2 linked regions of the Arabidopsis thaliana genome follow. The protein of the gene in region 2 interacts with the protein of the main gene of each other region in a pairwise test. Each region holds a gene or a part of one and is shown on either strand. Other genes may lie near its edges.

The links.
Region 1: the proteins of HAM2 (region 2) and AT1G72030 interact in a two-hybrid assay, tested with the Arabidopsis thaliana proteins (2 studies listed by BioGRID).

Annotation. Positions count from the first base shown.
Region 1 is NC_003070.9:27,108,808-27,112,713, forward strand, and holds AT1G72030 (Acyl-CoA N-acyltransferases (NAT) superfamily protein), read left to right. Parts: upstream 1-2,024; 5' UTR 2,025-2,079; coding exon 2,080-2,409; intron 2,410-2,496; coding exon 2,497-2,549; intron 2,550-2,630; coding exon 2,631-3,018; 3' UTR 3,019-3,125; downstream 3,126-3,906. Other genes in the region: AT1G72010 (TCP family transcription factor), read left to right, coding at 1-164; AT1G72020 (TonB-dependent heme receptor A), read right to left, coding at 714-934, 1,448-1,520; dNK (P-loop containing nucleoside triphosphate hydrolases superfamily protein), read right to left, coding at 3,352-3,553, 3,641-3,708, 3,791-3,906. UniProt on the Arabidopsis thaliana protein: Protein acetyltransferase with dual specificity triggering both N-alpha-acetylation (NTA), with a preference for leucine, methionine, serine, valine and to a lower extent threonine and alanine as substrates (can also use glycine), and epsilon-lysine acetylation (KA) of several plastid proteins.
Region 2 is NC_003074.8:22,410,329-22,414,255, forward strand, and holds the start of HAM2 (GRAS family transcription factor), read right to left. Parts: upstream 2,336-3,927; 5' UTR 2,040-2,335; coding exon 168-2,039; 3' UTR 1-167.

The sequences.
Region 1 (3,906 bases), on a different chromosome or scaffold from region 2:
AACAGCTAGGATTAGGAGTGGCAGAGGGCAACATGGCGGCTGCAATGCGTGGCAGTAGAGGCGATGGTTTGGCCATGACTCTAGATCAACATCAGCATCAGCTCCAACATCAAGAGCCAAACCAGAGTCAAGCTAGTGAAAATGGTGGTGATGACAAAAAGTGATCAATCCTTTTCTCTAGTTCCACCTCATGACATTGTAATGACCACACTCGAGTTTGAAGATTCGCAATCTGCGGTTTGGCTATTAGCAACTCCATTTGTAAAACATGTTTTGGCGATGGCGGTTGAATGCTGCCATGCTTGAATGACAAATATGGTGAAACAGATAATGGTTTTAAGCTTTTGAACAGATTTGTCACATCATTTGTGGGTTTTTGTGTGCCTATGTGTGTTTTCTTGATTTCATCTCTCCTTTTGATTGTACCTTTTTATTAATAGATTTGTGAATATGTTGATCTTTCTTGGCTTTTGGGTTCTACGATACTCAAACAAAACTTTCACTTCCAATCAAAGTAAAAAAAAATATATCTGTCAGATTATCATTATTACAGCATCAAACAGCCAGCAAAAGAGGAAGACACAGAAGACTTAACCATAACGATAAGACTTGTGGCTAAGATCCAAAGGGAGAAAGAAAAACTCTCTTGCAAAAGCAGAGTTTGAGAATTCATACAAATTATTCAAGCTGTGAACAAGAGCATCCTGAGGGACTTAACCAGATTGAGTCTTCCTCTGCTGGAAAACGACTGCGAAGATAGGAACCCCAACACCGATGCTGAAAGCGGTGAATACACCGAGAGACATCTTGAGAGCTTGGTACTTCATGCGGTCCAAATTGTACATGTGTTTTGCGTGGAGGTAGTATTCATCGTAACCACCATGTCCTCCTCCGCTCATCTTCTTAACTCCAGTCGAGTGGAAGCTTCTAGTCACTGTTGTTGATGATATCAAAGAAATCTTCAGCAAGTTTTGAAATATTACCAATCAAACACTCATAAATCATCTTATAGCCCATTTAGTTTCAAGAGATACATCAAAACAAGCTGATCATAGCATGAACATGGAGCCTTTCACTGATCAACCAAAACTATCAAAACACGAACATGGAAAATTTCCATGAAACAAGGAAACATCAAAATATGCATTTCTAATTTCATGATACAATTTTTCAGCCTAATCATAAACAATCTGTTTCGCATCACGCCATTAAAGCGTGTTTCTATGACAAATTCGCGAGCAGAGAAGTTTCAAATCCCAGAATTCAATCAACGAAGAATCGCATCGGAATCAATCCGCGGCTAATCAGAAACATTGATATCTAGGCAATCAAACAAAACCTTAGAATAATCGATTCCTGGGAAATCAAACAAAACCCTAGACAACAAAAAAGGGGAAAAACAAAGAAATGCAAAACCAATTCAGCAGATACTTCTATTGGTACTGACCAGATCTGGAGACTGATGCTTCGGAAGAAGCAATGATCTTAGATACAGATCTGATGCTGGTGCTCAACGCCATGATTCAGAACTAATCGAGAAATTGCAAATGATGAACGACTTCTCTGGAAATTTTACGGCGAATTTGTTTTGGGGAGGAGAGGAGACTGAGAAATGAGAGATGATATCACACGTGCAAAGCGACATCTTCTTTTGGGCCAGGCCCATTTACTCTTACACAAGGCCTTTATTTAACTGTGTTGTTCAAATATTTTTGTTTTAAGTAAAAGCTGACAAAAATGTTCAGAAAAAAAAAACTTTGGGAATTTTCTTAGGAATCATATAACATGTCAAAATAAAAATTCATGTCACTTTCTTTGATGAACATGAAATATACTAATTTTTGCTTGCAAATCTCCACGTGTAGAGTCACCATTTGTCCACGTAGCTGAACTATTTTATCTTTTCTAACCCCAAAAAAATCTCTGGATGGTCATGAGCTAGCGATGATTCTTAACCACAGAAAACAGACGATGGAAGCAAGAAGCGTATCTTATCTCTACGTTTCATATTAAAGCGCATGAAAACGAACATAATAAAGATTCTCTTTTTTTTTTTTGAAAAATGCTAGAAAAATAAACATGGGTCACTTGCCACAGAGCCTCTACTCCGCCGCTGGACCAAAGTTTCCATATCCTGGAAGCTCCGGTCTAGGAGTAGATCAACGGAAGCTGACGTGGAGCCGCTTCCCGGTGTTCCTACGGTGCGCGTCGACGGAGTCGTTAACGAGTTTGACTCAGAATAATGCGGCGGAGATAGAGTTGAAGTATCTGGTGAGTCAACACGGGTGGGACGTGAGGAGATTGAATAGAGACGACGAGGATGAGATCAGGAGAGTGTCTCTTGTTCAAGCCGAAGCTTTCCACATCCCTCTTGCTCTTTTTGATGATTTTTTCTTCATGTTTTTTCAGGTTTGTTTATTTTTCATTCTCATATATGATTTACATTGAAGATTATTGTTTTGATGTATATGAAGATTTTGATAATATGTAATACAGGCAGAGGTTCTATCAGCACTTCTTTACAAACTAAAGAATTCACCACCTGACAGGTAAAACAAATAACATAACATAATTTCTTTAAGACTAGTTTTTAAATGTGATTAATTATAAAAGTTTTAAGAATTTGGCAGATATGCATGTCTCGTGGCGGAGCAAACAAGTGAAACTGAAACTTTGTCGAGCTCAAGTGTTGTCGGAGTAGTTGATGTAACAGCTCAAACTGAAAGTTCAGTACTTCGCTATTTTCCGGGCGTCGAAGAATATCTATACGTCTCGGGTTTAGCTGTCTCAAAATCTCAAAGGAGAAAGAAGATGGCAAGTACATTGTTAAAGGCATGTGATGTTTTGTGTTACTTGTGGGGTTTCAAGCTTCTTGCTCTAAGAGCTTATGAAGACGATGCAGCTGCTAGAAATCTTTACTCGAATGCCGGCTACAGTGTGGTCGAGACTGACCCGTTGTGGACCTCTACTTGGATAGGCAGAAAACGTCGCGTTCTTATGAGTAAACGCTTTTCTTAGGCGTTTTCTTCATGTACATTTTGGTTAAAACAATAAACACACTACCATCTAATTGGATACAGAGTAAATGTGCAGAAACATGAACTGAACTGAAATTTTAGACGACCAACAAGATTTCAAGAAACAAATTATCCAGAGACCAAACTTTTATACAAAAGGGTTAAACTAAACGGTGGCACGACCATGTTTTGTTTCTACATCTAAGATGGACAAAAGCGGCAGCAAACGTTTTTTTCCTAAATAAACGATATAAAAGCCGATCGAAACTATTGACATTCAATAACCTGACACGCTCCCTTGGAGCCAACAAAAACAGAGTCAGTGAATGGACAGTCACGCAGACGGTCTAGTGAGGAGTGACTTGAGATCTAGAGGCGGGAGATCTAATCCCGGGACATGATTGCCTGCTGGTCCCATCCAGAGACCTCCATTCTGATGTGGTAGCAGTACCGGCGACTGACTGTTGCTCTTCTCTGTAGATGTTTCTTGCTTCTTCTTCACAAACTCAAAGAACTCAGCGACCTGGCGTGCATACCTTTTAACAACATCAATCAAGAAAGTATCTATTAGATTTATGATTCCAAATAAGTTATGGTGACATTACAGTAGTGTGAGCACTTACTGTGTCTTTGCTTCAATATCCCGGCTGAAGTCGATATTGGGTTCACAGTCCAAAACCAGAGCAGGGACCTGTTACAACCAATGAACCAGTCTAAGCAAAATCTATCTTCAGACTTTTAGCACAAAGAATGCAAAAAAGAGATAAGTTTACCTTCTGGATACTAGAATGCATATGATTTCCTTCCAAGTAAAAGACACGGTCCTTTATATCAGGATGCAGAGAGTTGTCCATGTGTAAAGATGGTCTACTAACAGACAATACACCAT
Region 2 (3,927 bases):
TATGCAGAAATATAAAAAGGAAAAAAAAGAAAGACTAACATAAGGAGATTATATATATATCATTTGATTGGTTAACATCACAATCAAACATATTAAAACGTGATCTAACCCAAATTGAAAAGCTACAAAAAGAAAATTAAACCGTGAAAATATCCTCCTTTTTCGTCTTAACATTTCCAAGCTGAGACAGTAACAAGTTCTTTCCTCTGCCAACACAAGACAAGTGAAGGCGACGAAGACTGTCTCTTCTCCAAGTGAAACCCTCTCATTGGATTCCTCTGCAACAAATACTCCGCTTGTGTCTCCGCCGTCTGACTCAGCGTCACAGGAGTAAACCCACATTGCCCAAATAAGCTTCTCCACGGCGGTGATCTCTCCATCCAACGGTAACGATTCGTCAACAGTTTCTGTATCGACGGTTGCACACAAAACCTCTCAATACTCGTAGCAGCTTCCGCATTATTCAGATTCCCAGAGTCGAGAGACTCGAGCAGAGATGTGTAGTACTGAAGCGCGTTAATCACACCGTTAGGGAACGGCGCGTCGTTGTTACGGTCGCAGCTTCTGTCTGAGCAAACGACGACGTTTGGTGAGATTTGCTTGAGGAAACGAAGTATCAATGGGAGGTAACCGGAGACCATGGAGCTGATTGGGAGATTCACAGCGATTGCTTCTTTCTCCGATGATCGGAATAAAGACAGTGGCCAATAAGTTGGATTCAAGAGAATCTCCATGTTTAAGAGCTCGATTTCGAAGGAGACACCTGTTTCGCCGGCGAAGCTTCTGAGATTTTCTTCAGTGAATCGGAGCTCGAATTCGTCGGAGACAGTTGAAGGAGAAGCGAAAGCTGTAATCTTTAGCGACGGAGCTGATGAAGATCTGTTTCTTTTTCCGGCGAGCTCTTGAATCAGAGACGCCCATTGACCTCCATAACCGATATCGAAATCGACAATGTGGATCCGATCAAACCCTTCGAATGACTCGAGAATCGTTTGGTTTGCTGTGAAGTTGACGAATTGAAGAAACGGTGACGTTTCTGAGAAAGCTCTGTAAGCTGCGATCCGAAAGATTAGGTTTTGAGGAGGTGAGAGAGACGGTGGTGATAATGATGAGTCTTGAAGGAGAGAGTGAAGAGCTTCTGTTATATACGAAGCTGCTCTGTGGAACGGAGGTTTAGGATTGTTGTTAGTGTCGTCGTTGTTGTTGTTAAGGTTGTGATTGAGCCGCGCCAATATCCCTTGCGCGAGAACGGGATTGTTATCTCCGCCGTTTGTGGTGAGCTCCGCCGCCGCAGAGAATAGCTGGTCGATGATTACCGCTGACTGGTCTTGGTCGTTTTGGTCTTCTCCGGCTATCTTTGGCGGTGTGAGAAACGGGTCGTGAGATTCGTGACCCGGATCCGAGAACGGGAAAACCCACTGGAGGTGTTGAGATCCGGGTTGACCCGAATTGAGCCGTTTCGCAGGAGGAGACGACGGAGGATCCGAGAAGAAACCCGGATTTGGGTTTATTGAAATCTGAAACTTTTCTTCTTCCGGTGCGTTTTGAAAAGGGAAGCCATATCCAAAGAGTGGATTAGGATTATCAATAACCGGGTCGGATCCAGAACCGATGTCGAAACCCACAAACTCCGAACCCGGATCCACTACATCGCCAGCCATGATTAATCTAAAAATACTCTGTTCTTGTCCCGGCGAGCCACCGGAGAGAACACCATCGAGATCCTCGAAACCCATTTGGTCGCATTTCCCATCGGCGCCGGAAAAAGTAGCAGCAGCAGCGCCGCCGCCGCTGGGACCACCGTGAGAAGAAGACAGCGTGGTGGTTGAAGAAGAGACGAAAGGGCTTGGACTTCTAACAGAGTCTAAAACAGACGTCGGCTCCGAGAAACCACCATTGTTGACAACAAAGCAGAGATCTTCTTCTACTCGTCCATGGAGCTTCTCTGGATTAGCCCAGATTTTGTATCCCGGAGAAGAAGAAGAATCTAAGAAACCCAGAACCCCCTTCCCTTGAAATTGCTCAAAGGGCAGGGGCATGACCAATCTTACAGAGTCAGAAAGAGAATTTAAGAGTGAGAACAAAGAAACCCAGAAAAACCCTAGATCTCAGAACTTAAAGAGGAAGACGAAGATGAAAGCTTGAAACTGAAATTGGCGCCCACATTATCTCACACTCGGTATTAATAACAATCTTTCTTCTCGTTGCTTATGTATATTGACTCTGGATGATTCCAACAACATTCCAAAGTGATGATCTTCATAAAAAATGCTCTCTTTTTTTTTTTTTTAAGTAAAGGATTTGGTTTTTGCTGTGTGTGTGGTGCCTTGTGTCTGTAGATTTACTTATCTACATCTGTACTCATTTTATATCCCCTCGTTTCTAACCCTACTCGCACTTACGGCGCGTCACTCTTACTCTCCAAGAGATCATTGATTATATAAGTTTAAGCCATGAAAATCGAAATCAAAGTGTCATTAATCGAATAAATTTAGCCTTAATCATAAATTGACTAAATTACTATGATGACAACATAATAAATAAGGAAAACACTGGATTGAGGAAAAAAAAAACAAGGAAACCAATAAATTTTATGCATATCGACAAAATTACTATTCTACATTTTTCGTAAATTTTGTTCGATTTATAAAATAAACTTGCATCTTGTAAAATAATTTGTTATTTAGTGAAATAGCAATTGGGTGATTTAATATATATGTGCAGTAACATGTTTTATATTAAATAGTATGATAGTAAAAATATACTTCATTATATATGTATAAAAACTAAGTCAAGGGTCAAATGAAAATGAACCAAAAGATTTTTGTTCTTTTTTCTTCAAACCAATAGATTTGTTTACTTAAAGGATGTGTCAAATGTTTGACAAAAAAAAAAGGATGTGTCAAATTTATTTTTGAAATTACAGGTAAAAAACATTTTGAGAGCGAAATCGTAAAAATACTTAAAATAGTCAAAATTATTTACTTATTTATTAAGAATATGGGATCATATAGTGTATAATTCATTAGATCAAACTAAATAAGTAATAGGAGTATGAAGAAAAGAAAGAAAATAAATTGAATTGTCGAAACCCAAAAACCTAAAAGAGTCAGTTATTAGTTGATTGTCTTACAGTAAGTAATTCAATAGTCCAGAACTGTTGAGGCGCGTTAGATAACGATCAATCTGAAAGACAGTACTATTAAAAAAATCAAAAACATATACCGAGGTTTCAGAGCAAAAAGCGAATTTGATACAGATGGCTTTATTGTTAATCATTGTTTTCCATAATTACCCTTGCTTTCTATTAACACACTCTGTTTTTTTTTTTTATCTAACGGTTGAAATTGCATGAACTCTGGAGAAGATCTCATGGCTCTAGTCTAGATTTTTTATAAACTAACTAATAAATGACATATTGACTATAAAATCTTGCATTTGCTAATCAAGTTTAATTTTGAACGACAAGTAGACACGGTCAAAACTAAAATTATGACAAATCTTTAGCCTATGTTAGTTGATGTTTACACGTGTTTGCGATAATCAAATCGTTTTATTCCACCATTCTTTTCTAAAATCATCTATATCATTTCTTCTTCTTTTTTTCACTTCTTTGACAAACTTGAAATACTTAAGTGGCCGTTTATTGGTGGCGGTAATAGAATAGAGGATACCAAAAGGAGATTAAAAAGAAAAGAGGTGGAGCTGGATTGCGAAGACAAGTTGGAACTTTTGGTAGTTTGTGTGTGAATGGAAGGGAGACATGGCTTATGTGATTGCCCTAAACATATTTCTATTTTTTAAGCCAAAATAATATAAAAACAAAAATCTTTGTAATTGGACATTGTAATAATGGGAGACATGTTTTTTTTCCTCCAAGACAAACAAGAAACCTCCATGTGAATTTCCACCACCTTGTAATATGTC